Linked DNA regions of Anolis sagrei. The protein of the gene in region 4 purifies or fractionates together with the protein of the main gene of each other region. This does not show direct contact. Links are inferred from orthologs where the notes say so. Each region holds a gene or a part of one and is shown on either strand. Other genes may lie near its edges.

The links.
Region 1: the proteins of RBX1 (region 4) and FBXO11 purify together in Homo sapiens (co-immunoprecipitation; 4 studies listed by BioGRID and IntAct, with this or other methods). This does not show direct contact. The link is inferred for Anolis sagrei from reciprocal best matches to the Homo sapiens genes RBX1 and FBXO11.
Region 2: the proteins of RBX1 (region 4) and FBXO42 purify together in Homo sapiens (affinity purification with mass spectrometry; 4 studies listed by BioGRID and IntAct, with this or other methods). This does not show direct contact. The link is inferred for Anolis sagrei from reciprocal best matches to the Homo sapiens genes RBX1 and FBXO42.
Region 3: the proteins of RBX1 (region 4) and FBXO7 purify together in Homo sapiens (affinity purification with mass spectrometry; 5 studies listed by BioGRID and IntAct, with this or other methods). This does not show direct contact. The link is inferred for Anolis sagrei from reciprocal best matches to the Homo sapiens genes RBX1 and FBXO7.

What each region holds. Positions count from the first base shown.
Region 1 is NC_090021.1:20,873,994-20,881,820, forward strand, and holds the start of FBXO11 (F-box only protein 11), read left to right. Parts: upstream 1-4,783; 5' UTR 4,784-5,024; coding exon 5,025-5,268; intron 5,269-7,827. UniProt on the Homo sapiens protein: Substrate recognition component of a SCF (SKP1-CUL1-F-box protein) E3 ubiquitin-protein ligase complex which mediates the ubiquitination and subsequent proteasomal degradation of target proteins, such as DTL/CDT2, BCL6, SNAI1 and PRDM1/BLIMP1.
Region 2 is NC_090033.1:7,742,516-7,750,322, reverse strand, and holds the start of FBXO42 (F-box only protein 42), read left to right. Parts: upstream 1-4,702; 5' UTR 4,703-4,876; intron 4,877-7,807. Other genes in the region: SZRD1 (SUZ RNA-binding domain-containing), read right to left, coding at 2-295, 2,866-2,915, 3,073-3,123. UniProt on the Homo sapiens protein: Substrate-recognition component of some SCF (SKP1-CUL1-F-box protein)-type E3 ubiquitin ligase complex. Specifically recognizes p53/TP53, promoting its ubiquitination and degradation.
Region 3 is NC_090025.1:168,878,493-168,885,559, reverse strand, and holds the start of FBXO7 (F-box only protein 7), read left to right. Parts: upstream 1-4,018; 5' UTR 4,019-4,213; coding exon 4,214-4,335; intron 4,336-7,067. UniProt on the Homo sapiens protein: Substrate recognition component of a SCF (SKP1-CUL1-F-box protein) E3 ubiquitin-protein ligase complex which mediates the ubiquitination and subsequent proteasomal degradation of target proteins and plays a role in several biological processes such as cell cycle, cell proliferation, or maintenance of chromosome stability.
Region 4 is NC_090025.1:161,877,860-161,885,970, forward strand, and holds the start of RBX1 (E3 ubiquitin-protein ligase RBX1), read right to left. Parts: upstream 3,063-8,111; 5' UTR 3,026-3,062; coding exon 2,948-3,025; intron 1,387-2,947; coding exon 1,308-1,386; intron 200-1,307; coding exon 129-199; intron 1-128. UniProt on the Homo sapiens protein: E3 ubiquitin ligase component of multiple cullin-RING-based E3 ubiquitin-protein ligase (CRLs) complexes which mediate the ubiquitination and subsequent proteasomal degradation of target proteins, including proteins involved in cell cycle progression, signal transduction, transcription and transcription-coupled nucleotide excision repair.

The DNA.
Region 1 (7,827 bases), on a different chromosome or scaffold from region 4:
TTTCAATGTGTTATACATAGAGACAAAAGCAACAGGCTTTAAATAAAAAACATGGACAGAGGAGTAAAAACAATAAGTATAATAATAAAAAACAATGGATTTGTTTGTTACATTGAAGAAATGTAAAACTGTAAAGGTAAAGGTTTCCCCTTGACATTAAGTCTAGTCGTGTCTGACTCTCCATTTCTAAGCTGAAGAGCTGGTGTTGCCCGTAGACGCCTCCTAGGTCATGTGGCCGGCATGACTGCATGGAGCGCTGTTTATCTTCCTGCCGAAGCAATACCTGTTGATCTACTCACATTTGCATTTCTTCAAACTGCTAGGTTGACAGAAACTGGGGCTAACAGAGGGAGCTCACCCAGCTCCCCAGATCTGAACCGCTCACCTTTCGATCAGCAAGTTAATCAGTTAAGCAGTTTAATCCACTGTGCCTCCTAGTACTCAAATGACAATTACTGTGCAACCCCCATATCCATGGGAGATATGTTCCCTGAATTTGTGTGGAAATGCAGAACTGTGGATAATAACGAACCTTTACTAAAATGAAGGACTCCTGGCCCAAGAATACTATAGAGCAGGCCTGGGCCAACTTGGGCCCTCTGGGTGTTTTGGACTTTAACTCCAAATATAGTGGGTGTTGAAGTCCAAAACTCCCACAAAAGCATCAGAGGATCCAAGTCTGTCCAGGCCTGCACAAGAGGGTATCAATTCCACTTGCAAATGAAGAACTGGATCTGCAGCACAGGCTCATCTTTAATACCTGGAATCCACCAATTGTATACGTTGTACTCTGACGTTTCTGAACAGGCACCGAATGCGACCCCTTTATTCACGCAAAGCACATCACTATGTCCATCCATGTCCAAAAAAGGGCAGCTGGAAAGGCAACAGAACAGCATAAATATTCCCACAACAACAGAAAAGGCAAGAAGAAAACCCCAAAATGTCTTAAACCTACACCTGTTGATTAACTCCACAAGCTAGCTGGCATTGCCCCCCCCCCCATGTGCAACGGGAAGTTGCTGCTAAATGTGAGAGAAATAAGGTTGGACACTATGAAAGCCATCCAACACATGGCTACCAGTCTCCTCCCTGTAGACTCAAATCAAGGAAAAGCTTTATAACTACCACTCCTCTTGGTGTCCCTCCAGCAACAGCAAGGGACTCCCTATAGGCAGCTAAACCGGGAAATCCCAACTGGATGGCCACCTTGCGAGGGTCTTCCTCCAGAGGCAAACCAAGAACGGGCAACTTGGAAGTCCCTGAATAGCGGAGTGGGCAGATCAAAAGGAAACCTGGCAAAATGGCACTACCTAGAAGAATTCCAAACCTTGTATAATTGTGGAGCAGAACAGAAAACTCCGCATCTGTATGCTTGTCCACTGTGCCCCTGCCTCGTGTACAGAGGAGGAATTGTTGGAGGCTACAGACACTTATTTACTTAGGCGATCCCTCGTTGGCTGAGTAGGATAGTCTTGCAGGATCAGTATTCTTGTGGATCTGTAGGTGACTGTGGAGCCCTATTATTGACCTGCATCTTCTTCCGCAGTGAGGGCATTGGTTTCCAGGTGGAAGGCAGTCTCGGTCGGGATTGGCTTGATGCGCCTTCCTCTTGGCACGTTTCTCTCTTTCACCCTTCATTTGTGCCTCTTCAAATTTTGCAGCACTGCTGGTCACAGCTGACCTCCAGCTGGAGTGCTCAAGGGTCAGGGCTTCCCAGTTCTCAGTGTCTATGCCAAAGTTTTTAAGGTTGGCTTTGAGCCCATCTTTAAATCTCTTTTCCTGTCCACCAACATTCCGTATTCCGTTCTTGAGTTCGGAGTAGAGCAACTGCTTTGGGAGACAGTGGTCAGGCATCCGGACAACGTGGCCGGCCCAGCGGAGTTGATGGCGGAGGACCATAGCTTCAGTGCTGGTGGTCTTTGCTTCTTCAAGCACACTGACATTTGTCCGCTTGTCTTCCCAAGAGATTTGCAGGATTTTCCAGAGGCAATGCTGATGGAATCGTTCCAGGAGTTGCATGCGACGTCTGTAGACAGTCCACGTTTCGCAGCCATATAGCTGGGTTGGGAGGACAATAGCTTTATAAACAAGCACCTTGGTCTCCCTACGGATGTCTCGGTCCTCAAAATTCTCTACAGACAATGCCGTTGCTGTTGCCCGTTTTTGGTCAAATTATATTTAGCCACCTGTGCATCTTCTATTTTTATCAGTTTTATACTAATTTATGCAATGTATTGTCGAAGGCTTTCATGGCTGGAATCACTAGGTTCATGTGGGTTTTTTCGGGCTATAGAGCCATGTTCTAGAGGCATTTCGAAACGTCAGGAGAAATGCCTCTAGAACATGGCTCTATAGCCCGAAAAAACCCACAAGAACCTAATTTATGCAATGCTTTTAATACGAAATAAATAAATAACCGCAAAACTACAGCAAGAAACACTGAGGGAGGCCCAAGTATGTCAAAAAGGCGCAGACTAGATATACACAATACCTGTTTCATGCCTACTCTTTTTGGCATCTTTTCTTCAGACTTTTCCAGCAAGGTAAGTGGCAAGTGGTCAGACTAGCTTCTTTCCTTCAGAAGACCTGGATTGGGTTGTTGTAGGCTTTACAGGCTGTATGGCCTTAGAATCATAGAATCAAAGAGTTGGAAGAGACCTCATGGGCCATCCAGTCCAACCCCCTGCCAAGGAGCAGGAATATTGCATTCAAATCACCCCTGACAGATGGCCATCCAGCCTCTGTTTAAAAGCTTCCAAAGCTTCAATGTTCTAGAAGCATTCTCTCCTGACGTTTCGCCTGCATCTGGATGGTTTTGTGCCTGGAAGTAGGTAATGTGTGTCTCCCTTTACTATTTCTGTCCCTGACAACAAATACCTATGTCCCCTTTCCCCTCCTTTCTCCTTATCTTATCTACCCCAAATATACAATGACCTCTACCCCAAATATACAGGCAGATCTTGGAACTTCTGAGGGGGGAAAATAAAGGCGTCCATGCCAGGTTTCTGAGTCTCAGATTCTCACCCTTACTTTCTGACTGGCTCATTGAATGATCTACTCCCTGAATTCCTTTCTTTCTGAGGTGAGGCCTAAAGGCCTCCTCAACAGACTCCATCTTCTTCTACGACGTCTTAATGCTCTCCCCTCAGTTCGTGTTCTATGCATCTCTCTCTCTCTTCCTGCGGCCTCCTCCTCCTCTCTCTCCCCTCCCACAACCCTCCTGCCTCACTTTCCTTTCTCTCTTCCCCTCCTTCCCTTCATTCTCTTTTTCTCCACCTCCTCACGACGCAACCGCCCTTTGGACGGCTTATAAATGCAAGCCTCGTCGCTATTGGTCGAGGGACTCGTCCCTTCCGTGACGGAGGCTCGGATTGGACGAGCCAAGCGTTGGTCGTGAGTGAAGAAGACACAGGGAAAGGGAGGGAGTGCCACAGCGAGGAGTATAATGCAAGCCTCAACGCTATTGGTTGAGGCGCCTCTCCCCTTTCGTGACAGAAACCAGGATTGGACGAGCCGGGCGTCCGTCTTGAGTGAAGGAGACACAGGGGAAAGGGGAGGGAGTGTTCTGTAATGCAAACCGAGACCTTATTGGTGGAGGTGACTCTCCCCTTTCGTGACAGAAACCAGGATTGGACGAGCCGAGCACCCGTCTTGAGTGAAGGAGACACAGGGGAAAGGGAGTGTCCTGTAATGCAAGCCTCGACTTTATTGGTTGAGACGCTTCGCCCCTTCCGTGACGGAAACCAGGATTGGATGAGCCGAGCACCCATCTTGAGTGAAGGAGACACAGGGAAAGGGAGGGAGTGTGTGCCACAGCGCGGAGTATAATGCAAACCTCGACGCTATTGGTTGAGGCGCCTCTCCCCTTTCGTGACCGAAACCAGGATTGGACGAGTCTTGAGTGAAGGCGACACAGGGGAAAGGGGAGGGAGTGTCCTGTATTGCAAGCCGAGACCCTATTGGTGGAGGCGACTCTCCCTTTCCGTGACGGGAACCAAGATTGGACGAGCCGGGCGTTTCGTCGTGAGAGAGAGGGAGGGGGGAACGAGGGAGAGAGAAAGAGTGAAGGAGACACAGAGAAAGGGAGGGAGTGTGTGCCAGAGCGCGGAGTATAATGTAAGCTTTGACGTTATTGGTTGAGGCGCCTCTCCCCTTTCGTGACAGAAACCAGGATTGGACGAGCCGAGCACCCATCTTGAGTGAAGGAGACACAGGGGAAAGGGGAGGGAGTGTCCTGTAGTGCAAGCGGAGACCCTATTGGTTGAGGCGACTCTCCTTTTTCGTGACGGAAACCAAGATTGGACGAGCCGGGCGTTTCGTCGTGAGAGGGCAGGAGTGAGAGCGAGAGGAAGGGGGGGGGAGGGAGAAAGAGTGTGAGAGAGAGGGAGGGGGGAACGAGGGAGAGAAAGAGTGCGCGAGGAGAGTGCGCGAGCGCGGCCTCAAGAATGCAAGCCGCGCCGCGATTGGCGGAGTCGCCTCGCCCGTTTCCGTGACGGAGGCTGGGATTGGCTCACGTCGTGAGGGGACGAAAACGTACACTCAAATCTCCTTCTGTGTGTGTGTGTGTATGTGTGTATGAGGAGGGGCGCTTCTTTCCCTCCCTCCTTCCCTCCCTCCCTGGCAGCGTCAATGGCTCCTCCTGCCACAGAGCGGTGGTGGTGGCGGCGGCGACGGGTTTAAGCCGAGAGGAGGAGGAAGGAGAAAGAAGAAGAAGGGTTGACTCCCTCGAGCGAAGGAGAAGAGGCGGCAGCGGCAAGGCGGGGGGGCCGGGGAGGGGGGGAGGGGAGAGGAGCAGCGCGCGCCGCCGCGTGTGCGCGAGGCGACGGCGCGAGCGTCCCCTTCATCAACCGCCACTGAGGAGAAGGAGGAGGAGGGAGGAAAGAGGAGGAAGCTGAGGAGAAGGAGGAGGCCTTCCTTTCTTTCCTGGGGCCTTCTCTCTCCTTCCTTCCCTCTCTCCCTCCCCGAACAGTCCCGGTTTCCGGAGGAGCGGCCCCCTCTCCTCCCCCCGCCCAGGCCGGCAAATGAACTCGGTGCGGGCCGCCAACAGGAGACCCCGGCGAGTGTCCAGGCCGCGCCCGGTGCAGCAGCCTCCGCCGCCTCCCCCGCCGCCGCCTCCCCCACCGCCGCCGCCTCAGGCCCAGCAACAACCGCCTCCGCAGCAACAACAGCAGCAACCCCAGCCCTTGCAACTGCCGCCCCCTCCTCCTCCACCGCCGCCCCCGGAGAGGAACAACAACAACAACGCTGCCGCAGCAGGGGAACGGGGTAAGAAGGAGAAAATGGAGGATCGAAACAGAGAGAGAGGGGAGGGGGGAGGAAAGGACTGAAAAGGGAGGGAGGGGAGGAAGGAAAACGGGTGGGGTCCCCTCATCTCTCTCCTCCCCCCCCTCTCCATTAAATTGTGGGCTGTATTTCACCTCCGTCCGCAGGCCGCGCTTTGTTTGGTTTGCTGGGTAGCTATGGGGGGTTTTGATGGGCTGGTTGTGCGTCCCTCTCTGGAGAGGCTTCGGGGGTTTTGTGGAGGCCATAGCGCCCCCCCCCCCCCCTTGGTTCCCTGTGGAGAGAGGTACGAGGCCCAGGTTGATTATTACTATTTTTTAAAAAATATCATGCATTTATCTAATATTGAGGCCCCTTCCACACAGCCATATAATTCAGGGCCCTTCCACACAGCCCACACAGGACATGTTCTAGAGACTTGAGTATAAGCAGAGGATGGGGAATGCAGCATCTACTGGTAAATTTCAAAATAAAAATAGATACCAATAAAATTACATTAATTGAGGCATCAGTAGGTTAAATGTTTACATAAAACTGTAATTTAAGATAAGACTGCCCAACTCTGATTAAACCATTACTCTAACCTTCTTCAATGTAAATGTGCTTACGTAGCCTTCCAGTAATAATAGAGTAAAATAATAAATGTAATAATCATAATAATATAAATATAATAATGATGGAAATGTAAAAATACCAGTAATATGCTCAATGCCTCTAGAACATGGCCATATAGCCCGAAAAATCCTACAACAACCCAGCCCTATATCCTTCCACACAGCCTTATGTCCCAGAATATCAAGGCAGAAAATCCCATATTATCTGAGTGTGGACTGCTGAACAAAATCCCACATTTTCCCACACTGATGAATAAAATCCCACATTTTCTGCTTTCTGCTATTATTTTTCTTCATCCCACATTTATCTCTAACATTGAGGCCCCTTCCATAGAGCACATTAAAATCCCACATTTTTCTGCTTTCTGCTATTATTTTTCTTCATCCCACATCTATCTCTAACATTGAGGCCCCTTCCACACAGCCATATAATCCAGGGCCCTTCCACACAGCCCATCTTTCCACACAGCCCTATATTCCAGAATATCAAGACAGAAAATCCCATATTATCTGTGGATTGCTGAACAAAATCTCACATTTTCCCACACTGCTGAATAATATCCCACATTTTCTGTTTTGAACTGGGATATGTGCCAGTGTGGACTCTGTTATCCCAGTTCAAAGCAGATATTCTGAGATTTTCTGCCTTGATATTCTGGGATATAGGCCTGTGTGGAAGCCCCCCCCCCCCCCAATATCAAGGCAGAAAATCCTGCAACTTCTGCATCTAATTGGATTATCTGAGTTCACACAGCCCTATATCCCAGAATATCAAGGCAGAAAATCCCATATTATCTGAGTGGACTGCTGAACAAAATCCCACATTTTCCCACACTGCTGAATAAAACCCCACATTTTCTGATTTCTGCTATTATTTTTCTTCATCCCACATTTATCTCTAACATTGAGGCCCCTTACAGAGCAGAATAAAACCCCACATTTTCTGCTTTCTGCTATTATTTTTCATCATCCCACATTTATCTCTAACATTGAGGCCTCTTCCACACATACAACAAAAATACCACTTATATATAGAGTAAACAATAATCGAATTCAACAAGCAGTTATATAGACATGTTGTACTGTTCAATTTCACAGTGATGTCAAACAATATTGTGTAAATTTTGGTACAGTGTTTTTAGAAGAATATCAAAACAAAAATGGAATTCAACAAGCAGTTCTATAGACATATTGTACTGCTCAATTTCACAGAGATGTCAAACACTATCAACACAGCCATATAATCCAGGGCCCTTCCACATAGCCCACACAGGCCATGTTCTAGAGAATGACTCTAGAACATGGCTATATTGCCCGAAAAATCCTACAACAACCTAGCCCTATATCCTTCCACACAGCCTTATATCCCAGAATATCAAGGCAGAAAATCTCATATTATCTGAGTGTGGACTGCTGAACAAAATCCTACATTTCCTCACACTGCTGAATAAAATCCCACATTTTCTGCTTTCTGCTATTATTTTCCTTCATCCCACATTTATCTCTAACATTGAGGCCCCTTCCATAGAGCAGAATTAAATCCCACATTTTCTGCTTTCCGCTATTATTTTTCTTCATCCCACATTTATCTCTAACATTGAGGCCCCTTCCACAGAGCAGAGTAAAATCCCACATATTCTGCTTTCTGCTATTATTTTTCTTCATCCCACATTTATCTCTAACATTGAGGCCCCTTCCACAGAGCAGAATAAAATCCCACATTTTCTGCTTTCTGCTATTATTTTTCTTCATCCCACATTTATCTCTAACATTGAGGCCCCTTCCACAGAGCAGAATAAAATCCCACATTTTCTGCTTTGAACTGGGATATGTGGCAGTGTGGACTCCGATAACCCAGATTTTCTTCCTTGATATTCTGGGATATAGGGCTGTGTGGAAGCCTCCCCAATAATATCAAGGCAGAACTGGG
Region 2 (7,807 bases), on a different chromosome or scaffold from region 4:
CCTGTCGAGGAGGGGCTTGTCGGGCCCGCGCTGCTGCTGCTCCTCGTCGTCCTCCTCCTCCTCCTCGGGGCTGGCACTGCCCAGGATGCGCTTGCGAGCCTCGGCGTACTCGGCCTCCCTCTGGGCCAGGGACTTGACGGGGAAGGCGGGCCGGCTGGCGGTGCGAGGGCTGCCCAAGACCCCGTTGCTGGTGGGACGCTTCAGGATGCGGATCTGGGGAGGGGGCCCCGCCAAGGGAAGGCCCTCGTCCTGCAGCACCACTGGGGGGGCCTTCGGCGGGGAGCGCGGCTTCCGGCTGCGGAAAGAAATAGACTGAGCCAGTCAGGACGACAACGACGTGCTAGGACAGGAAGGAAGCAGCAAATAAATAATAATAATAATAATCTTTATTTATACCCCGCCACCATCTCCCCGATGGGGACTCGGAGCGGCTTATATGAGGCCAAGCCCAAACCGCAAATTACAATAAAATAAAACTGAAAATGCAAACAATAACAACAACATAATTACACAAAGCATGTGAAAACATAGCAATATAGAATTACAATAGGCACAACCAAAGGACAAAGGGTTTAGAGCAGGCATGGGCCAACTTCAGCCTTCCCTCCAGGTGTTTTGGACTGCAACTCCCACCATTCTTAACAAGCCAGTCGTAATAAAAGTGAATGTTTGTTGCGCCAGCTCCACTGGCTGCCAGTTTGCTACTGGGCCCAATTCAAAGTGCTGGCTTTGGCCTATAAAGCCCTAAACGGTTCTGGCCCAACTTACCTGTCCAAACGTATCTCCCCTTATGAACCACTTAGGACTTTAAGATCATCTGGAGAGGCCCTGCTCTCGGTCCCACCTTTGTCACAAGCATGTTTGGCGGGGGTGAGAGACAGGACCTTCTTAGTGGTGGACCCTCAGCTATGGAATGCCCTCCCTAGGGAAATCAGATCTGCTCCCTCCCTCTTGACGTTTCGGAGGCAAGTTAAAACATGGCTATTCGAGCAAGCGTTTACAAATACAGAGTAGCTAATATAGGAAATCGAATGACCTGACAATGGAATTGGACAATGCTTGAGAATAATGAGACGCTGATGATGTTGCTTTTATGACGTTTTATACTGTTTAATGTTTTTTATCTATTACGTTTTATGTATACTGATTTGTTAGAAACCGCCTTGAGTCGCCAATTGGTGGTATACAAATACGGTAAATAAATAATAAATAAATATGTATGTATGTTTGTGGGCAGTGGGCAATGCGGCGACGTTTAGCAAAATATTTAATAGCAATAATGGATACACTTCCACTTTGAGTCTCCTTCGGGAGAGATAAAGTGGGGAATAAATAAATTCAATAATAATAATAATATTATAATAATAGATAACATAATATATAATGGTAATATATTGTAATACCAATAATGGATACATAGCCACTCTGAGTCTCCTTTGGAAAAAATAAAGTGGGGTATAAACGTTTTAAATAAATAAATAAATAAAATTATAATATTATAATAGACAACATAATAATATAATATATAATTATAATATATTATAATAGCAATAATGGATACATAGACACTCTGAGTCTCCTTTCGGAAGAGATAAAGTGGGGTATAAATAAATACAATAATAATAATAATAATAATAAGAAGAAGAAGAAGAAGAAGAAGAAGAAGAATTTAATAGATGACATAATAACACAGTATATAATTATAATATATTGTAATAGCAATAATGGATACATAGCCACTCTGAGTCTCCTTCAGGAGAGATAAAGTGGGATATAAATAAATACAATAATATGATAAATAAATATAACCATAAATATAATAGATAATAATAATGTATTGCAATACTAATAATGGATACATGGCTTTGATTCTCCTTGGGGAGAGATAAAGTGGGGTATAAATAAATACAATAATAATAGATAACATAATAACACAACATATAATTGTAATATATTGTAATACCAATAATGGATACATAGGCACTCTGAGTCTCCTTCGGAAGAGATAAAGTGGGGTATAAATAAATACAATAATAATAGCATTATAATAATATACAACATAATAATATAATATATAATTATAATATATTGTAATAGCAATAATGGATAGACACTCTGAGTCTCCTTCAGGAGAGATAAAGTGGGATATAAATAAATATTATAATATTATAAATAAGTATAACAATAGATAATATAATAGATAATAATAATGCATTGCAATACTAATAATGGATACATGGCTTTGATTCTCCTTTGGGAGAGGTATAAATAAATACAATAATAATAGCATTATAATAGATAATATAATAACATAATATATAACTCTAATATATTGTAATAGCAATAATGGATACATAGACACTCCTTGGGGAGAGATAAAGTGAGGTATAAATAAATATAACAATAATACCATTATAATAGATAATATAATAATATAATATATAATTCTAATATATTGTAATAGCAGTAATGGATACATAGACACTTTGAGTCTTCTTCGGGAGAGATAAAGTGGGGTATAAATAAATAAAATAATATTATAATAATAGATAATAATATAATATATAATTCTAATAGCAGTAATGGATACATAGCCACTCTGAGTCTCCTTTGGGAGAGATAAAGTGGGATATAAATATAGTATAATAATAATAGATAATATAATCTATAATAATCATAATACCAATAATGGATAGCAAGCTAGTAAATACATCAAATGTAGAGCAGGCCTTGGCCAACTTGGGCCCTCCCTCCGGGCGTTTTGGACTCCAACTCCCACAATTCCTAACAGCCTACCGGCTGTTAGGAATTGTGGGAGTCCAAAACGCCCAGAGGGAGGGGGTCCAAACAAAGGGAACTCCTCACCTCTCCTTCTGGCTGATCTTCAGCTTCTTCTCCAGCCGCCTGTCTATTTCCTGCAAGGCAAAAAAGGGGCGTTTGAGGAGACCCCCCTCAACGAAGGAAGCCAGGCCTCCTCCCCCTTGAAGGCAGGCAGGCAAGCGCACGTGGGAGGGCGCGGCCCCTTTAAGAGGCCTAGCAGGCGCCCCGAAGCCTGCGCCTCCTCCTCCTCACCCCGCTGTCGGCCGCCTCCTCCCAGCTCTCCGCGACCTCCTCATCTTCCATCGTCAGGCCCCTCCGCCGCCGCCAGCCCGCTCGAGGCGCATGCGCGCTAAGCCGCCCCTTCCTTCCTTCCTTCCCTCGCTCCCCTTCCCTTCTTTTTGCCCCTCGCCCTCGCCGCCGCTGAGGCTCCTCGCTCGCCGCCCCCCGAACAAGAGCGCATGCGCGGCTTCCCGGGCTCCTACCCTTTTCGTCGGGCGGAGCATGCGCGGTTGGAGCCGTGCCCTTCCTCGCTCCGCCCCATGTAGGGAAAGGTGCCCGTGTGCGCGTGCGCAGTGGCGCCCCTGAGAGCTCGGGCAATCCCTTCAGCCGTGTGGCGCATGCGCAGTATCCACATGTGCCTGCATGTGGAAAGGTGGGGGTTCGCGCGTGCGCAGTGTCGCCCCTCGCTCAGCGCAGGGATTCCTTCTCAATGTCTCAATGTAGAAAGGTGCGAGGTCGCGCGTGCGCAGTGTCGCCCCTCGCTCAGAGCAGGGATTCCTTCAGCTGTGTGACGCATGCGCAATATCTCTATATGTCTCAATGTAGAAAGGTGCGAGTTCCCGCGTGCGCAGTGTCGCCCCTCGCTCAAAGCAAGGATTCCTCCAGCTGTGTGACGCATGCGCACTATCCCTATCTGTCTCAATATAGAAAGGTGCGAGTTCGCGCGTGCGCAGGGTCGCTCCTCGCTCTGAGAGGGATTCCTTTAGCTGTGTGACGCATGCGCAATATCCCTATATGTCTCAATATGGAAAGGTGCGAGTTCGCGCGTGCGCAGTGTCGTTCCTCGCTCTGAGAGGGATTCCTTTAGCTGTGTGACGCATGCGCAGTATCCCTATATGTCTCACTGTAGAAAGGTGCGAGTTCGCGCGTGCGCAGTGTCGCAGGGATGCCTTCAGCTGTACGGCGCATGCGCAGTATCCCTATGAGCCTCTGCGAACGGTGCGAGTTCGCGCGTGCGCAGTGTTACCTCTCGCTGTGCGAGCAGGGATTCCTTCAGCTGTGTGACATATGCGCAGTATTTCTATATGTCTCAATGTAGAAAGGTGCGAATTCGCGCGTGCGCAGTGATTCCTTCAGCTGTATGGCGCATGCGCAGTATTCCTATGTGCCTCCGCGAAAGGCGCGAGTTCGCGCGTGCGCAGTGTCGCCCCTCGCTCTGAGAGCAGGGACTCCTTCCATATCCCAAAGTGTCTCCACTCTCCGTGTGTAGAGAAAGTGCCAATTCACGCATGCGCAGTGGCGCCATTCACCCCGAGAGCGGGCATGCATTCAGCGGCGTGGCGCATGCGCAGTATCTTTAGGTGCCTCCGCTGCTTCCATATAGGGAGGGGCCGGTTTTGGTTTTGCGCGTGCGCAGTGGCGCGAATTCCTTCACCAGTGTGGCGCATGCGCAGTATCCCGAAGTAGGAAAAATCGGATACACGAAAGAACCTGAATTCCTTCACCAGTGTGGCGCATGCGCAGTATCCCAAAACACCGAAACTGAGTATTGGTCGATAGGGGGAGGAGCCAAGATGGCGTCACAATCCTTCCCAAGATGGCGCCGCCCTGACGAGGGGGCAACCAAGATGGCGCCCGCGCAGGCCCCACGTGACGGCGGGAGGCGCCTGCGCGTTGGCCTCGTCCCCGCCCCTGAGCCGAGCGATGGCGGCGGAGACGGTGGCCGGGAGGGCTCAGGCGGGGGAACCCCGAGAAGGCGGCTGGCGCTGCTGTGGGCGCCCGGCCCGGAGGAACCGAAGGCGGCTCTGAGGAGGGAGAGGGAGCGCGGAAGCGGCAGGTGAGGCCAGCAGCCCCCCTTCCGGCCCCTGGCCCCGCCCTCTCGTGATGTGGCAGAAACGGAGCGCCCCGCTGAGAGGCGCCCAGGCCTCTGGACTACAACTCCCAGCAGCCCCCGCCGGTTGGGACCACGGCCGGGCATTCTGGGAGTTGGAGTCCCTGAGGCCTGTCCCGCCTCTCCAGACAGTAGGCCTGGGCCTTCCTGTGTTTTGGACTCCAACTCCCAGCATTCCCAACAGTCTATAGAATAGATCCAGGCCTGGTGTTTTGGGCTCCCAACCAACATCCTATAGATCAGGAATGGGCCAACTTCGGCCTTCCCTCCAGGTGTTTTGGACTCCAACTCCCAGCATTCCTAACAGTCTATAGAATAGATCCAGGCCTGGTGATTTGGGCTCCCAACCAACATCCTATAGATCAGGCATGGGCCAACTTCGGCCTTCCCTCCAGGTGTTTTGGACTTCAACTCCCACAATTCCTAACAGCCTACCGGCTGTTAGGAATTGTGGGAGTTGAAGTCCAAAACACCTGGAGGGAAGGCCGAAGTTGGCCCATGCTTGCTAAAAATTCAGACCTGCTGTCGGGAGAATCCAGGTGTTTTAGACTCCCGATTCCTAACAGCCCATAGCGTCAACGATGTCTTGTTTAATAGACACCCATGAAATCATTCCGTTTTCCGTGAACTTCCATCACAACGTTTCCACGTAATCTCTCTGTACAACGCAATCTGTTTTGGATTCTGATTTGTAAACAATCTCCCTTGCTACAATCTCCCTCGCTCCTTATCGCTCAGCTCTTCACTCGACTCTTTATTAGTTGTTGCTATTTCTGACTCCTCGGAATAAACGCCCTCGAGGCCCCTGCTCTTCCAGAGTCAGTTTAATCGACACCCATGAAATCATTCCGTTTCCCGTTAATTTCCTTCTCATTTTCACTCGACTCCTTTTTAGCTCTTGCTATCTCTGACTCCTCGGAATGAACGCCCTCGAGGCCCCTGCTCTTCCAGAGTCAGTTTAATTGACACCCATGAAAATATTCCATTTCCCGTGAATTTCCTTCTCATCTTTACTCGACTCTTTATTAGCTGTTGCTATTTCTGACTCCTTGGAATGAATGCCCTCAAGGCCCCTGCACTTCCAGAGTCAGTTTAATCGACACCCATGAAATCATTCCGTTTCCCGTTAATTTCCTTTTCATCTTCACTCGACTCCTTTTTAGCTCTTGCTATTTCTGACTCCTCGGAGTGAACGCCCTCGAGGCCCCTGCTCTTCCAGAGTCAGCTTAATCGACACCCATGAAATTATTCCGTTTCCCGTGAATTTCCTTCTCAACTTTTCCACGCACTCTCTCTGAATGGCACAGTCTATTTTCAGCTGTGATTTGTAAACGATCTCTGTAAGTACAGATAGTTTCCCATGGGAACCTTCCTTATCGCTCAGCTTTTCACTCGATCCCTTATCTGCTGTTGCTACTTCTGACTCCCCTGAATGAATGCCCTTATCCTCATTTCCTAGACTTGAATTTCCCAGACTTGAGAGCCCATCGCTTTGTGCCACGGGAAAGCCCCAAATCCTCTCTAAATCATCAGTGAAACCACCAGCTTCTGGTGGCTGATCTATAACAGTTGGAAAGGTATCTGTCAGGAGGGCTTTGTTCCTTTCTTGCTTGGCTCTGATTTGTAAACAGACTTTTGTTGATCTCCATAGTTACAGGTGGGTTTCCCTGGGAACCCTCCTTATCGCTCAGTTCTTCACTCAATTCCTTATCTGATGTTGCCACTTCTGACTCCTCTGAATGAATGCCCTTGAAGCCCTGCACTTTCTGAGCTAGTTTATCCATAAAGAGAACCATCATTTCCTATACTTGAATTTCCCAGACTTGAGAGCCCATCGCTTTGTGCCACGGGAAAGCCCAAAATTCTCTCTAAGTCATCAGTGAAACCACCAGCCTCTGGTGGCCTATCTATAATAGTTGGGCAGCTATCTGTCAGGAGGGCTTTGTTCTTTTCCTGCTTGGCTCTGATTTGTAAACAAAGACTTTTGTTGATCTCCATAGTTACAGGTGGGTTCCCCTAGGAACCCTCTTTATCGCTCAGTTCTTCACTCAATTCCTTATCTGCTGTTGCTACTTCTGACTCCTCTGAATGAATGACCCTGAGGCCCTGCACTTTCCGAGCCAGTTTTCTCACAGAATTATAATTGTTTGTACTGGCATTGAATTTTGCCATTACTTATGTGTAAACTGCTTTGAGTCCCCCTCGGAGTGAGAAAAGCGGTATACAAATACCGTAAAAACAAATAAATAAATAAATAAATAAAATCATTTCTCAGACTTGAGAGCCCATCACTTTGTGCCACAGGAAAGCTCACAATCCTCTCTAAATCATCAGTTATACCACCAGCCTCTGGTGGCTGATCTACAATGGTTGGGTAACCATCTGTGTCAGGAGGACTTTGTGCTTCTCCTGCTTGGCTCTGATTTGTAAACAGACTTTTGTTGAACTCTTCAGCTGCAGGTGGGCTCCTCTGGGAACCCTCCTTGTCACTCAGCTTTTCACTCGATCCCTTATCAGCTGTTGCTACTTCTGACTCCCCTGAATGCATGCCCTTGAGGCCCTGCACTTTCCGAGCCAGGTTTCTCACAGAGAGAACCATCATTTCCCGGGTTTGAGAGCCCATCGCTTTGTGCCACAGGAAAGCTCACAATCCTCTCTAAATCATCAGTTATACCACCAGCCTCTGGTAGCTGATCTACAACAGTTGGATAACCATCTGTGTCAGGAGGACTTTGTGCTTCTCCTGCTTGGCTCTGATTTGTAAACAGACTTTTGTTGAACTCTGCAACTGCAGGTGGGCTCCTCTGGGAACCCTCCTTGTCACTCAGCTCTTCACTCAATCCCTTATTGGCTGTTGCTACTTCTGACTCTCCTGAA
Region 3 (7,067 bases), about 7.0 Mb from region 4:
ATGGCTGAAAGAGAGAAGGAGCTGAGGAGCCTTCTAACCAAGGTAAAAGAAGAAAGTGCAAAAGCTGGGTTGCAGTTAAACATTAGAAAAAAACCGAAGTTTATGGCAACCAGACTGATTGATAACTGGCAAATAGAGGGAGAAAACGTGGAAGCAGTGACAGACTTTGTGTTTCTAGGCGCGAAGATGACTGCAGAAGATGACTGTAGCCAGGAAATCAGAAGACATTTACTTCTTGGGAGGACAGCAATGATCAATCTTGATAAAATAGTGAAGAGTAGAAACATCACACTGGCAATAAAGATCCGCATAGTTAAAGCAATGGTATTCCCCATAGCAATCTATGGATGTGAGAGCGGGACCATAAGGAAGGCTGAGTGAAGTGATGCTTTTGAACTGTGGAGCTGGAAGAAATTGATCTTTCAATTTGGTGCTTTCAAATTGATCTAGCCACTGCCAGTTGCAGCATGAAGTTCTGCAGATCCTGGATCTCACCACTGCATGGAATTGATCTGAATTTCAACCGAGGCGTTGCACCAGCTGCAGCTCCAACAGAAGAAGTCTCTCTCTCTCTTCCCTTTCAGTCTCCTCTGGCCACCTTGTAACAGAAGACCCTAATAAAATGTATCCGTTTCCTGACTTCCAGCTCCCTGCAAGATGCATTGTGTCCTTCTCTGACTCAAACCTTTCTCTCTTCCGAGCCGCGAACCTTCACAGGCTCGGCTGGGACGCTCCAGCAGCATCCTGGAAGGCAAGGAACTGCGATCTTTTAAAATGTGGATATTGAGTTGCATCTGGATTTCCGTATCCAAGGCTTAACCGATCCCTTCTGAACCAACGCCATCTTCCCCAGATTGCCTTATGAATGAGCTATCGCCCAGATTGCTTTATCAATGGACCCAGGAAGGGTCAGTCATAATCTGATCATTTAAGCAACTATATCTTTGTTTCTACTACTGCTGTACCTTCTCTATCACAATTGGTTGAGAGGCCGAAGCGGGGCTCGGGCTGTCATTGGCTGAGACACACCTGCTCCCAGCTGCTCTTCCCGGCCTGCTGACGTCAGGGATTCCCCTGACCAATCATGGCAAAGCCGGCTCAGGGCGCGGGAAATTCAAACTGGAAAAAAATGTATAAAATGTGTATTTTTCTGTATTTGGGTATGCTGGCTTCTTCAGCAGATGACTGTGGTTGTCATCCTTTTCCAGCTGGAACAGAAAATAAACTTCAGTGGCATGTGTTTCATCCTAGTGAGATTTATTTGGGAAAAACTCGTATTGGCTTCTACAGCTTGCCAGGCGCTGTGGACCTCTCATAAAAATATCATTGCAGATTTGAGAAATGTGAATTTAATAATGATGTGCGGGAATAAATGGAAGAATGGATATTGTATTGTAGGGGCAAAGAAATCAAAATATTTCCCAAAAAGGCAGAAGCCCCTTTCTAACAGGGAGGGCAAGGATGGACACCACCAAAGTTGAATCTTTTAAACTGCAAAAAACTATTTATTGCGTGGCCATAGCAATAACAACAAACAAGCATACGGGGATGCAATCAAAGGGTTTGTCGCAACCCCCAATGGGGCTGCAGAACATTTATAGTAAATGGAATATACATTTTCATTGGTTCCCAAAGACAAATCATTTCATTGGTATAAGCTAGCTATGCAGTTGTTCATTAGTTGTTTATGATTTTGATTGACATTATAGCACACGTGGGATCCTAACAATGGCACAACTATAGTCCATTGTTTTCTGACCATGACTGTATCTTATCTGTTAGTCTGTTGCAAACATGGCTCCAGAGCGACTGGGAAACTTGGGGGTTCTAACTAGCCATGAGCTAGCTGGTTTCGTCCGGATATACTGTTGGAGGGGACGTGGTTTTAAAAAGGGAATTTTCAGATATTTCCCCAATGCCCATATGTCATGATTTACTGCCATATAGGCCTATTTCTGCAGTAGGCCTATGTTCACAGAAAATGCTGATTGTTTGAGAAATCAGTGCTCCAAAGACGAAGTTACTATTCAAGGATAACAGTATATCCGGACAAAACCAGCTAGCTGTTGGCTAGTTAGAACCCCCAAGTTTTTCAGTCGCTCTGAAGCCATGTTTGCAACAGACCTACAGATAAGATGCAGTCATGGTCAGAGAACAACGGACTATAGTTATGTTAAAGTTGTGCCATTGTTAGGATCCCATGTGTGCTATAATGTCAATCAAAATCATAAACAACAAATGAACAACTGTATAGCTAACTTTGTTGTTGTTCATTCGTTCAGTCGTCTCCGACTCTTCGTGTCCTCATGGACCAGCCCACGCCAGAGCTCCCTGTTGGCCATCACCACCCCCAGCTCCTTCAAGGTCAGTCCAGTCACTTCAAGGATGCCATCCATCCATCTTGCCCTTGGTCGGCCCCTCTTCCTTTTACCTCCCAATTTCCCCAGCATAATTGTCTTCTCTAGGCTTTGCTGTCTTCTCATGATGTGGCCAAAGTACTTCAACTTTGTCTCTAGTATCCTTCCCTCCAGTGAGCAGTCGGGCTTTATTTCCTGGAGGATGGACTGGTTGGATCTTCTCGCAGTCCAAGGCACTCTCAGAACTTTCCTCCAACACCACAGCTCAAAAGCATCTATCTTCCTTTGCTCAGCCTTCCCTAACTTAACTTAGACCAATGAAATGATTTGTCTTTGGGAACCAATGAAAATGTATATTCCATTTACTATAAATGCTCTACAGCCCCATTGGGGGTTGTGACAAACCCTTTGATTGCATCCCTGTATGCCTGTTTGTCATTATTGCTATGGCCACGAAATAAATAGGTTTTTTGCAGTTTAAAAGCTTCAACTTTCGTGGTGTCCATCCTTGCCCTCCCTATTGGAAAGGGGGCTTTTGCCTTTTTGGGAAATATTCTGGTTTTGTTGCCCCAACACTGATATCCTTGAATAGTAACTTCTTCTTTGGAGTGCTGATTTCTCAAACAATCAGCATTTTCTGTAAACATAGGCCTACTGCAGAAATAGGCCAATATGGCAGTAACTCATGATATATGGGCATTGGGAACATCTCTGAAAATTCCCTTTTTTAAACTACGTCCCCTCTATTATGAGTGGAGTTTTGGAAAAACTAGTAAAAGACCCAGGCCTGCTTGCTGGACTGTAAATAAAAGTTACAAGTCATATGTACATACAACATACTACATTTGCCTAATGCTCGGTGCTTCCGGACCCAGCTATCATACTATCACCTCAGAAAATGTGGATTTTTTTTCAGCTGTATGGAAGGGGCCTTAGTCCTCACAAACATTTTGGACTTCAATTTCCAGAAGCCTCAGCTGCCTTGGCCAATGGTTAGGGAAATCCCACATTATCTGAGTGTGGACTCCGATGTTGTTCATTCGTTCAGTTGTCTCCGACTCTTCGTGACCTCATGGACCAGCCCACGCCAGAGCTCCCTGTCGGCCGTCACCACCCCCAGCTCCTTCAAGGTCAGTCCAGTCACTTCAAGGATGCCATCCATCCATCTTGCCCCTGGTCGGCCCCTCTTCCTTTTGCCTTCCACTTTCCCCAGCATAATTGTCTTCTCTAGGCTTTCCTGTCTCCTCATGATGTGGCCAAAGTACTTCAACTTTGTCTCTAGTATCCTTCCCTCCAATGAGCAGCCGGGCTTTATTTCCTGGGGACTCCGATAACCCAGTTCAAAGCAGACATTCTGGGATAAAGGACTGTGTGGAAGGGCGCCTAAACTTTTGGGAGGCCAGAGTTTGGGAAATCAATGACTCGTCAATCTCTCGTCTCTCGTCCACTTCCAATCCAAACGGTGACACAATCACGTGACTCTGGGCTTTCGGCAACGGTAAGATCGTATTCTGCGCGCGCCGGAGATTCGAGGCATTGCGCATGCCCGCTGAGAGTGAGCCAGCAAGAGCGTTGCCCCAAGGGCCCTGCCTCGTTTATTTCCGGATTGTTTCGGCTCTCGCTCGGGAGAGGGAGGGGAAGCGAAAGGGGGCGGGGCTTGGTGTCGCCTGGGACGGCGGGAGTGGACGGATGCCGCAAGAGGAGGCGGGGCTTCCCCAGCCCAACAACAACAACAACAATAGCAGAGGCACCCGGAAGCCCCGCGCGCGAGTTGGGGCTGCTTCCGCTAACCGCCACCGCCTTCTTCGCTGAGCGAGGCGAGGAAGCCAGTGGCAGGAAGCGAGGGAGTCGCCGCCATGAAGCTCCGCGTCCGGGCGCGGAAGAGAACGGCCCCGCTGGAGTTGCCTGAGGCGGAGCCGACTCTTGGGGACCTGCGGGCGCACCTCGGTCAGGCTCTGCTGCCCGCTTGGGGATACAGGTGACTCCTGGCACTGGGCCTTGGCCGGGATGGGCGTGGGAGGGTCATGCTTCACACCACTTGGGATTCTGAGAGCTTTGGTTTTACAAGGTCTTTGAGTCTTTGTAGCCCAAGAGTGCTGGTCCCTCACCAAACTACAAGTCCCAGGATCCCAAAGCATTGAGCCATAGCAGACAAAGTGAGATCAAAGTGCTTTCATTCTACAATCTGAATCAGGCATGAGCCAACTTCGGCCCTCCAGGTGTTTTGGACTTCAATTCCCACAATTCCTAACAGTCTATTGGAGTTGAAGTCCAAGCATATGGAGGGCCGAAGTTATTATTATTATTATTATTATTATTAACTTTATTTGCACCCCGCTAGCATCTCCCAAAGGACTCGATGCGGCTTACAAAGGCCAAGGCCTCAAATACAACATAACAATACAAACCTAAAGCAAATTAAAAACAATTAAAGCAATATTAAACAACAAAACAACAATCAATAAACAATACACCAAAACACAATAAAACTGGGCCGGGCCAGAGTGAAGGGTACAGGATTAAAAGTGATGATGTGACAGGTGATATGTAAGAAGTTTGCCCATGCCAGGTATAGATGCAGCCAGAGAACGACTCGAGCAGTTTCTCACTGTATTTGCTGTGCCTTCAAGTCGTTTGAAGTGCATTAATGAAGTTTGACATCACTTTGATTGTCATGGCGCAGTGCTATGGGAGCCCCCAGTAGCACAGTGGGTTAAACCCCTGTGGCGGCAGGACTGAAGACCAACCCGTCGCAGGTTCAAATCTGGGGAGAGCATGGATGAACTCCCTCTATCAGTACCTGCTCCTCATGTGGGGACATGAAAGAAGCCTCCCACAAGGATGATAAAACATCAAAAAAACATCCAGGTGTCCCCTGGGCAATGTCCTTGCAGAGGGCCAATTCTCTCACACCAGAAGCGACTTGCAGTTTCACACGTCGCTCCTGACACAACAAAAAAAAAGTGCTATGGAATCTTGGCTGTAATTTTAAAGGGTCTTTAAACTATTAGTTACTTAAGTTTTCTGGGTTTAGAGCTGACATGGGCAAGTTTGGCCCTCCAGGTGTTTTAGACTGCAACTCTCACAATTCCCAATAGCCAGTGGGCTGTTAGGAATTGTGGGAGTTGTAGTCCAAAACACCTGGAGGGCCAAAGTTTGCCCATGCCTGGTTTAGAGTGTGTGACAGGGTCGCCAGGGGGTTTTCCACGCATGAATTGGAACTCTGGCCACCAGAGTCAAAGGTGCAGGTACTGCACTGTAGACTTAAAACTTGGCTCTTACGATGTGCCTGGTAAGTGAACATATATTCCATATTTTGTCTCTCCCAACTATAGTTCTGTCCTCATGATGCACTTTCCTCCCGCCCTTAATGAAGGTCTAGCCCCATTGTTCATTTCTTTTGAGCTCCTCCCTCAGAAACACATTATCCCACTACCTATATCAGGGGTCCTCAAACTAAGGTCCAAGGGCCAGATACGGCCCTCCAAGGTAATTTACCCGGCCCTTGCTCAGGGTCAACCCAAATCTGAACTGACCTGAAAGCGCACAACAACAATCCTATCTCATCAGCCAAAAGCAGGCCTACACTTCCCACTGAAATACTAATTAGTTTATATTTGGTAAAATTGTTCTTCATTTTAATTATTGTATTGTTTTATGTGGTTTTTGCACTACAAGTAAGATATGTGCAGAGTGTGCATAGGAATTCATTCACATTTTTTTCAAATTTTTCAGATTGGCTTTCTGTTTTCTTAGAACCAGTGATATTTTAAAGGTAATGCTTTACACAGTGTTGAGGTGAGCTGAGTGAGCATGGAGGTGTCTGATATTTTGATGGCACATGCACTCTCAATTTTGTTGGATATTGAAGAATGTGGGTACATGGGGAATGATTATTTCCTCCAAAGATATGCTTATAGGTGTTGTGCCCAGGAGTGGTAGTAAAATTAGATGTTTTAAAGAGGTTTGTCATGCACTCCAGCACATAAAAGCTCTTGATAACATAAGTATTTGATGAAAGTATTTGATTTAATATTTGTGCACCATGGATTTTAGTTTTGATATCTCTGTTTGAGACACTGTGATATTCCCACTGAAGGATATGGCAGGCTTTATATTCCTCCTGAGTTGTAAAGCTCATTGAGTGATTTGTGAATGGCATAATAGCTCACATGATTATTGTGAGAATTATCTGAGTGGATCAGCTTACGTTCCTTGGGAAAACATGGGATATAAATGATATGTTTTTGTCACACATTCCTATGATTTGGGAACAAAGAGACTAGACAGATAACATGTTTAATCTGGTGACTCAGCAGATTATGTAACACCTCGTGGGTTTTAAATAGATTGAGTTTAGTTTCTAGTTCAGTGCAGTTCAGTTTCAGAATGAGGAGGTGCATTCTCCTGGACTACTAGTTTTCCAAAAAAGTATTAAAGTTGAAAAGGTAGTAAAAACCCTGATTTAGTCTATGAGAAAAATTAAAGAAATGAATCCAAGTTATCTTCAATTCCAGTTATTCCAAATATTCATGGAGTTAGCTGGAATAATTGTGGTCTAGTCCCAAAACATTTGCACCAAGTGAGATAATGTCATGTGACTGCAATGCTCACTAAAGAAGCTTAATACTGTGTTTTGGCTTGCTAGAAATGGGTCCCTCCTCAACTGCTTAATGTTCAGAAAATAAAGAAAGAGTCACCAATCGTAAT
Region 4 (8,111 bases):
GCTATGGGGCATTTAACAAAACTTTTCAAGTTCCCCTCCCCACAAGCTTTGATCTTCATAACAAAACCATTTATGGTTCTTTCCCACAAATTTTGATGTTTGTACGAACTGAAAAGTAGACATCTTACATTACAGACACCCCACGCAACAGTGCATTCTTCAGAGGTAGCTGATGCTTGGTTAGCTTGACATTCTATGCCTGGAAGAACAAGATTAAATAGAAACATTGATTATTACTGAAACGATAACTGGTGATGAAATATCCACATTTTCTGTTAAATATAGATGTTTCGAGATAACAAAAGAGGCAGACACATGATGAAAAACAGAATTAAAGTATCATTAGACCCACTTCCCATTGGATGAGAGGAATCTGGATGTACCATTCACATGTAATCCTAGTTTATTTTTCTAGTTGATTAACTGATAGGTAACAGATTCCAACTATGGATGTACAGTGGGAAGAGGTGATGGAGGAGTACTTAGCACTAAATCCTGCTCTATAAACAAAGGTAGTTATGAAATCTCAAATCAGTCAAACCAGGCCATTGCCTAGAACTGTTTCATTATGCTCTGTACCTTCGAAGTTATCTAGAAATCTGTCTTAATAACACATTATCACACAGGATGGATCTTTTAATCTGATTCTGCATGACAATTTTTACATTAATGATCCCAGATGAAGAAGCAATTTTGTATATTGCAAGAACTGCAATGTAGACATGTAGATACTATCCCAAACAATATAGTTGTACTGAGCAACTACAATTGCAGTCACAATATTACATGAAAGAATGGCAAGTATGACCTCCTAATCCTCAGGTTCTTCATAGGAGGCCAGAAAACTAATTTAAGTTTATATTGCAAATATAGCCATAACTTAATGCACTAATTATTCCTCTGTAACTAAATTACTCCTCTAATCTTATATGTGTAGTTTAACTACACAATTCACCATTTCTTTTCGTTGTCAGAGAAACTGCAAGTCACTTCTGGTGTGAGAGAACTGGATGTTGCCCAGGAGATGCCCGGATGTTTTACCTTCCTGTGGGAGGCTTCTCTCATGTCCCTGCATGGGAAACTGGAGCTGACAGACAGGAGCTCACCCCACTCCCCGGGTTCAAACCATCAGCAGTCCTGTCGGCACAAGGGTTTAACTCATTGCGCCACCAGGGGCTTCTACAATTAATCGTGAATTGTTGAGACTGCTATGAAGTTATGTTTTCATCATCTTGCTCCTTTTTATTGTCATCCTCTGATATCCACAATAACTATATATACAGCACAAATATTCTGGAGGTACTTACACAGATCCATAATGTGGTTTCTGCAAATGGCACAGTTATCAACCACGATGTCCCAAGCCCAGAGTGCAACTGCATTCCACTAAAGAATGAAATTACAATTAATGCAATTTTTCTTTGTTACTTTTTTTTGCATCGCTGTTGAGCCTAGCAAAACACAAAATGAGGCTTCACATGAGTTTGTGAAACCATGGATAATAACAAACCCTGTTGAAATTAAGGACTTTTTTGGCCCAAGAAAACCATGCTAGAGGACCTAGAGAATTCCCAAAGAGAACATTATTTGTCAAATGTGGATAAATTTCCAAATAGCATTCTTATTGATGTAGAAGTTGTACTGTAAACAAGCCAGTTTAACTAATTTTTTTTAATGTGTGTTGTCTTCTTACCTGTCTGAACCTATCTCCCCTTACAAACCACCAAGGACGTTAAGATCATCCAGGGAGGCTCTGTTCTCAGTCCCACCACCTTCGCAGGCATGACAGGTGAAGATGAGAGACTGGCCTTCTCTGTGGTGTCTTCTCAGCTGTGGAACTTCCTCCCCAATGAAGTTAGGTTTGCCCTCTCCCTCCTTACCTTCCATAGAAAACTCAAAACCTGCTGTGGGATCAAGCATTTGAACAATGGCTGGAGCAACTGGGAAGATAACGTTTTACGTGACCACAATGAATGGAACTGGATTATGATTTGCAACTGGCAAAATGTTTTTAAATTAAAGCATCAGAGGATGCTTGCCATAGATAAAGGTGAAACGTCAGGAGAGAATGCCTCTAGAACAGTGGTTCTCAACCTGGAGTCCCCAGATGTTTTTGGCCTTCAACTCCCAGAAATCCTAACAGCTGCTAAACTGGCTGGGATTTCTGGGAGTTGTAGGCCAAAAACATCTGGGGACCCCAGGTTGAGAACCACTGCTCTAGAACATGGCCATATAAGCCTGAAAAAACCTACAACAACCCAATGTTTTTATTCCCGGTAATTGCCATGAACATAAATTCCATATTAACTTGAATTGTTATTTTGAAAAGCTTCCCTATTTTTAAAATTATCTTATCCCAAAAAAGTTGTTGCATTTCTGATTCTCAAGTTTTATTATTCTGCTGATAAAGAAGAATATTTCTGACTTGTGATGAAATATCCACATTTTCTGTCAAATATGGATATTTTCCCATAGTCTGGGAAATACTATACTAGAGAAATCTGTGATTTCCCGCCACATTGCGGTGCATCCCACCTTTGAAAACCAGAGGAGCACAAAGGCTCCCGCTCAAACATGTATCTCAACTGTAAACAAACCTTGGGAAACGAGGGCGCCAATGGAAAGCACTTTCATAGAATCAAAGAGTTGGAAGAGACCTCGTGGGTCATCCAGTCCAACCACCTAAAGAAGCAGGAATATTGCATTTAAATCACCCCTGACAGATGGCCATCCAGCCTCTGTTTAAAAGCTTCCAAAGAAGCTTCCTGTTCGGGTTCTAGGCGAGGTCTGGACCAAAGGAACGCGGCCCACTAAGCCTCCCCATCACTTTTCGCTTTCACCTCACATTCAACATGAAAGATGGTTTCCGGGGGAAAAATAACCCTTCCCCAGGCCCCGCTACGTCCGCCACCTTCTCAACCCCAAGGCCTCGCCTTTTTCCTCTCACCTTCTTCACTTCGAAACGCTTTTTGCCGGCGTTGCTGTTGGTCCCGCTTGGTGTGTCAACATCCATCGCGGCAGCCATTTTGGATACAACTCCCGGCAGACTTTCCAGAACTGCGCATGCGCACGCTCGGTAAAAAAAAAGGAAAAGAAAAAAAGAACAAAATCTCGCGATACTTCCTGAGAAGTTTGTTTATTTATTTATTTATATATATGGATGCCTCACCCCCGCCCCTCCTTACAAACAGGTGTGCGCGAGCGAGGGAGGGAGGGAGCGCGCGCGAGGGTAGGGTGGGGGACCCAAAGGGGGCGGGGCTTGGTCACGTGCCGCCCTTTCCTCTTAAAGGCGCTGCTCAGGGCGGAGGCCTTTCTGCAGGGCCGTGCGGCGTCGTCGTTGTCGTCGTCGTCTTTTTACTGCGCTCCAGTGAAAGGACGGGAGGGAGGGAGGGAGGGGGGGGGGAAAGGGGCGGAGCTCTGAGGAAGGTTATTTAAAGGGATACGCACCAATTACTCTTGTATGAAATGCTGGGGAAACACTTGAAAACACTGTGTCATAGAATATATCCATAGGAATAAACCTTGAGGGCTACACAAAATCCATTTGTGTCGAGAGGAATACATGTCATAATGATTTAGTCAGAATCAGTGTGCCCTCCCCCTCTTAATATGTATGTAAACACACCCTTCAACACCAAATAGCTTTACTTGAAGGCAACCTAAATGCGTGAGCTGTGGCTCTTCCTGGGATTCGTCTCCAGCCTGCTTTCCCTTCTTCCCTCCCATCTTCCTTAATTAGGATGACTAATCCTTGCTAAACCATCGTCGCTCCAGAATCCATTACTGGGCTTTTGTGTGGAGCGCCTCCTTCTCTCTTCCCCCCCCCCCCCCCCAATATCCAGAGCTTTGTCTTAATATTAATTTTATTTCCTCAGGAAAGGCGCATCTGCAGCGCTTAGTGAGGCCAGGACATCCCCTCAAACCAATTCTGTCCAAAGGAAGAGTCTCCATGCCTTGGAACTGGCATTGAGGCGTCAAAGACATACACAGATCCCTAGGCCTTGGGAAGGCCTTGGATTGGGATTCATCAGGCATGGGCCAACTTGGGCCCTCCAGGTGTTTTGGACTTCAACTCCCATCATTCCTAACAGCCTCAGGCCCCTTCCTTTCCCCCCTCAGCCGCTTAAGCGGCTGAGGGGGGAAAGGAAGGGGCCTGAGGCTGTTAGGAATGATGGGAGTTGAAGTCCAAAACACCTGGAGGGCTCAAGTTGGCCCATGCCTGGGATATATAATGTTAGGCGATCCCTCGTAGCTCAAGGATGATGGTCGTCCAGATGTCATGTCTTGGTGGTGGAGCCCTATTCTTGATCATCTTCTCCCACACTAAGGACATAATCTTTTCCAGGTGGAAAGCAGTCCTGGTCAGGGTTGGCTCGACGCGCCTTTTTCTTGGCACGTTTCTCCCTCCGTTCGTGCCTCTTCGAATTCTGCAGCACTGTTGGTTACAGCTGACCTCCAGTTAGAATATATCCATCTTGCCCTTGGTCGGCTCCTCTTCCTTTTTCCTTCCATTTTCCCCAGCATCATTGTCTTTCTAAGCTTTCCTTCTCATGATGTTGCCAAAGTACTTCATCTTTGCCACTACTATCCTTCCCTCCAATGAGCAGTCGGGCTTTATTTCCTGGAGGATGGACTGGTTGGATCTTCTTGCTCAAGGGCCAGTTCTTGGTGTCTATGCCATACTCTACGCCAGTGTTTCTCAACCTGGGGGTCGAGACCCCTGGGGGGGGGGGGGTTGTGAGGGGGTTTCAGAGCGGTCGCCAAAGACTATCAGAAAACTCAATATTGTCTGTTGGTCATGGGGGTTCTGTATGGGAAGTTTGCCCCAATTCTATCATTGGTGGGACACAGACTGTTCTTTGATTGTAGGTGAACTATAAATCCGAGCAACTACAACTCCCAAATGTCAAGGTCTATTTTCCCCAAATTCCATCAGTGTTCACATTTGGGCATATTGAGTATTCGTGTCAAGTTTGGTCCAGATCCATCGTTGTTTGAGTCCACAGTGCTCTCTGGATGTAAGTGAACTACAACTCCCAAACTCAAGGTCAATGCCCACCAAACCCTTCCAGTATTTTCTGTTGATCATGGGAAAATACATCCTGTATATCAGATATTTCCATTTTGATCCATAACAGTAGCAAAATTACAGTTATGAAGTAGCAATGAAAATAATTTTATGGTTGGGGGTCACCACAACATGAGGAACTGTATTAAGGGGTCATGGCATTAGGAGGGTTGAGAAACATTGCTCTATGCTCATCAGAGGGAACCAAACTTCTGAAGGACAAAAAATCAATTGCACTACGTTGGAAAGAACACTACCAAAGCCTCCTGAATCACAGCTCCAATGTGGACGAAGAGGTTCTCTCACAAATCCTGTAACAACAAACCAGGGATGAGCTCGCACTGCCAACTAGTTTGGAAGAAGTCAGCAATGCCATTGTTGTTGTTCATTCATTCAGTCGCTTCCGACTCTTCGTGACCTCATGGACCAGCCCACGCCAGAGCTCCCTGTCGGCCGTCACCACCCCCAACTCCTTCAAGGTCAAGTCAGTCACTTCAAGGATACCATCCATCCATCTTGCCCTTGGTCGGCTCCTCTTCCTTTTTCCTTCCGTTTTCCATAGCATCATTGTCTTCTCTAAGCTTTCCTTCTCATGATGTGGCCAAAGTACTTCATCTTTGCCACTACTATCCTTCCCTCCAATGAGCAGTCGGGCTTTATTTCCTGGAGGATAGACTGGTTGGATCTTCTCGCAGTCCAAGGCACTCTCAGAACTTTCCTCCAACACCACAGTTCAAAAGTATCTATCTTCCATCGCTCAGCCTTCCCTAAGGTCCAGTTCTCACACCCATAGGTGACTGGGGAATACCATTGCTTTTAGTATGCGGGTCTTCATTGCCAGTGTGCTGTCTCCACTCTTCACTATTTTATTGAGATTGGTCATTGTTAGCAATGCCATTAGCCAACAAAACAGTAACAAAGCCAGAAGATATATAGTGCCTCTGTACAAAAAGGGCATCTCAGGTCATGTCTTCAAGGTAGAATTAATGCCTTCAATGCTATGCCATGGTTCAATGCTATAATGTCATCGGAGCTATGGTTAAACAAGATCTTTATAACATTCCCTGCCAAATAGTGTTGGTGTGTGTCACCAAAGGGTCATTCCATGCCAAGTGGTCTAAACCTTCCCACCATCATGTCTCAAATTTTATTCAAATTTTAGCCATAGCACCAGTGAGGGGTTAAAACTTTCCCAAAATTTGAGGTCTCTAACTGCAATAGTTGCTGATCCAGACTCCCTTACCTGAAGGGTCGCCAGTCAGAGTGCGCATGACATTTAAGAAAATGCTATTTTTGGGGTCTAACAAAATTGAAATGAAAGGTATGTATGGCTTGTAAATTGGCTTGTAAATTGAAATCCTGCAGTTTTTGTTCTGCTGAGTTCGATGAAATTAATTTCAGTGTTATGGATGCAAAATCCAGTCAAACAAGTTGACTCAAAGTGTGCATCAAAATGTGTCAAGACTCATTTTGAAAAATTTGGCTTCTTGTGGAAGCAAGGATTGGTGGGAAAGCTTCAGTGAAGACACCTTTTTCCATAAGTTTTTTAGGAGTGAATTTGCCTTCTGAGGGATAGATTTCTCACTTCCTGTTGTCTCACTCCTGTTCTTAACTATGAGTCATTTGTAACTCTGGGACTGCCTGTACTTGCTTTTAAAAACTGCCCTTTAAGCCAAAGTTTCCTAACATCAGTTATCGGTAGGCACAGTAACACACTTACTGTACTATGTTAGCACTGGAAAATAAAAAGGAGTTATGTTTATTTTACAGACTTGACCTACTAACCAGAGGTATTAATGCTACACACGCTTACTTGAAAATTAAGCCTCCATTGAACTCAATGGATTTTTCTCTCTCTCAATATGGGCCTTCATGGTTGACTTCATCCATGCTTTCTCAGCATCTTATCCCAAAGACTGAATGCATAATATGATTCTTCCTTATTAAGATTTCTGTGGAAGATCCATTTCAAAAGCAAGAAATGTCAGTAGTCTATTTTAAAATTGTACAGTAAAAACCTTTTGAAATAAAATGTTTAAAAATATTATGCAAGTTTTAACATATAGGCATTCTGGTCTAATGGTAGGAACACAGAAATCTTAATTAGATTTTAAATCAGTCATCATAAGCCTTTAACAGTGATTTTGATTTAACATTTTTTTCTTCATGTTGCTTTTCAATTTCTTCATGCACTTTCTTCTTAAGTTGCCTTCCAAATGTGGAACAGTTCATAAATATATGTACAGATTAGGCTGCAAATCTATGCATTTACTTGTGAATTAGTCCTATTAAAATCAAGTGAGATTTCTGACTAAAAATGTATTGGATAGTAACTTGCTGCATCTGATATGGTTCTTCTGGCCTCTAACAGCAAGATGTGATGTTACAGCATCAGACAGCAATTTCGGAATTGATTTCTCTCTTTTACCTAGGTTATATGTAACTACCTTGTAGAAACTTTCATTGAAAGGTAGGATAAAAACATTTTAAATAAATCACTATAAATTGGGATTTGGAAAATAGAGAGTAAGGAAACATAGAAGACCAAAGAGGCCCTTCCATATCATTAACCAATGTAAATGTCTACCATGCCTAGATATTGTAAGTTGTTCCAGCAAATTAGTTAATATTCCAGATAGAAGGAAAAACGAGGGCAGTGAAAAAAAACCCAAAAAAACAGAGCAAGAGCTTCACAAAGCCAGCCATATTACACATGTTTTCAACTGCAATCCTGTGTATAAATTCACAAATGGTGTCTTTGTAGCTTCCTTTTCTTCATGTGAGAAGCAAAATGATGGCATCTTGAAGGCACACACACAGAGACAGACATAAGACTGATATGAAAACAACCTGTTTATTCACAGCTCATACTTCTTCTGGAACAGCAGATAGGACTTAAGGGGAAAATAACAAAGTCAGATGCACATGTTTCACAAAGGTTAGAAACAAAACATACCAGTACAATCTTTAACAGTACACTGTCCTGTCCTGCTCTTCTAATGATGAGATGAACACTGCAGATGTCCAATGGGACGTTTAATTT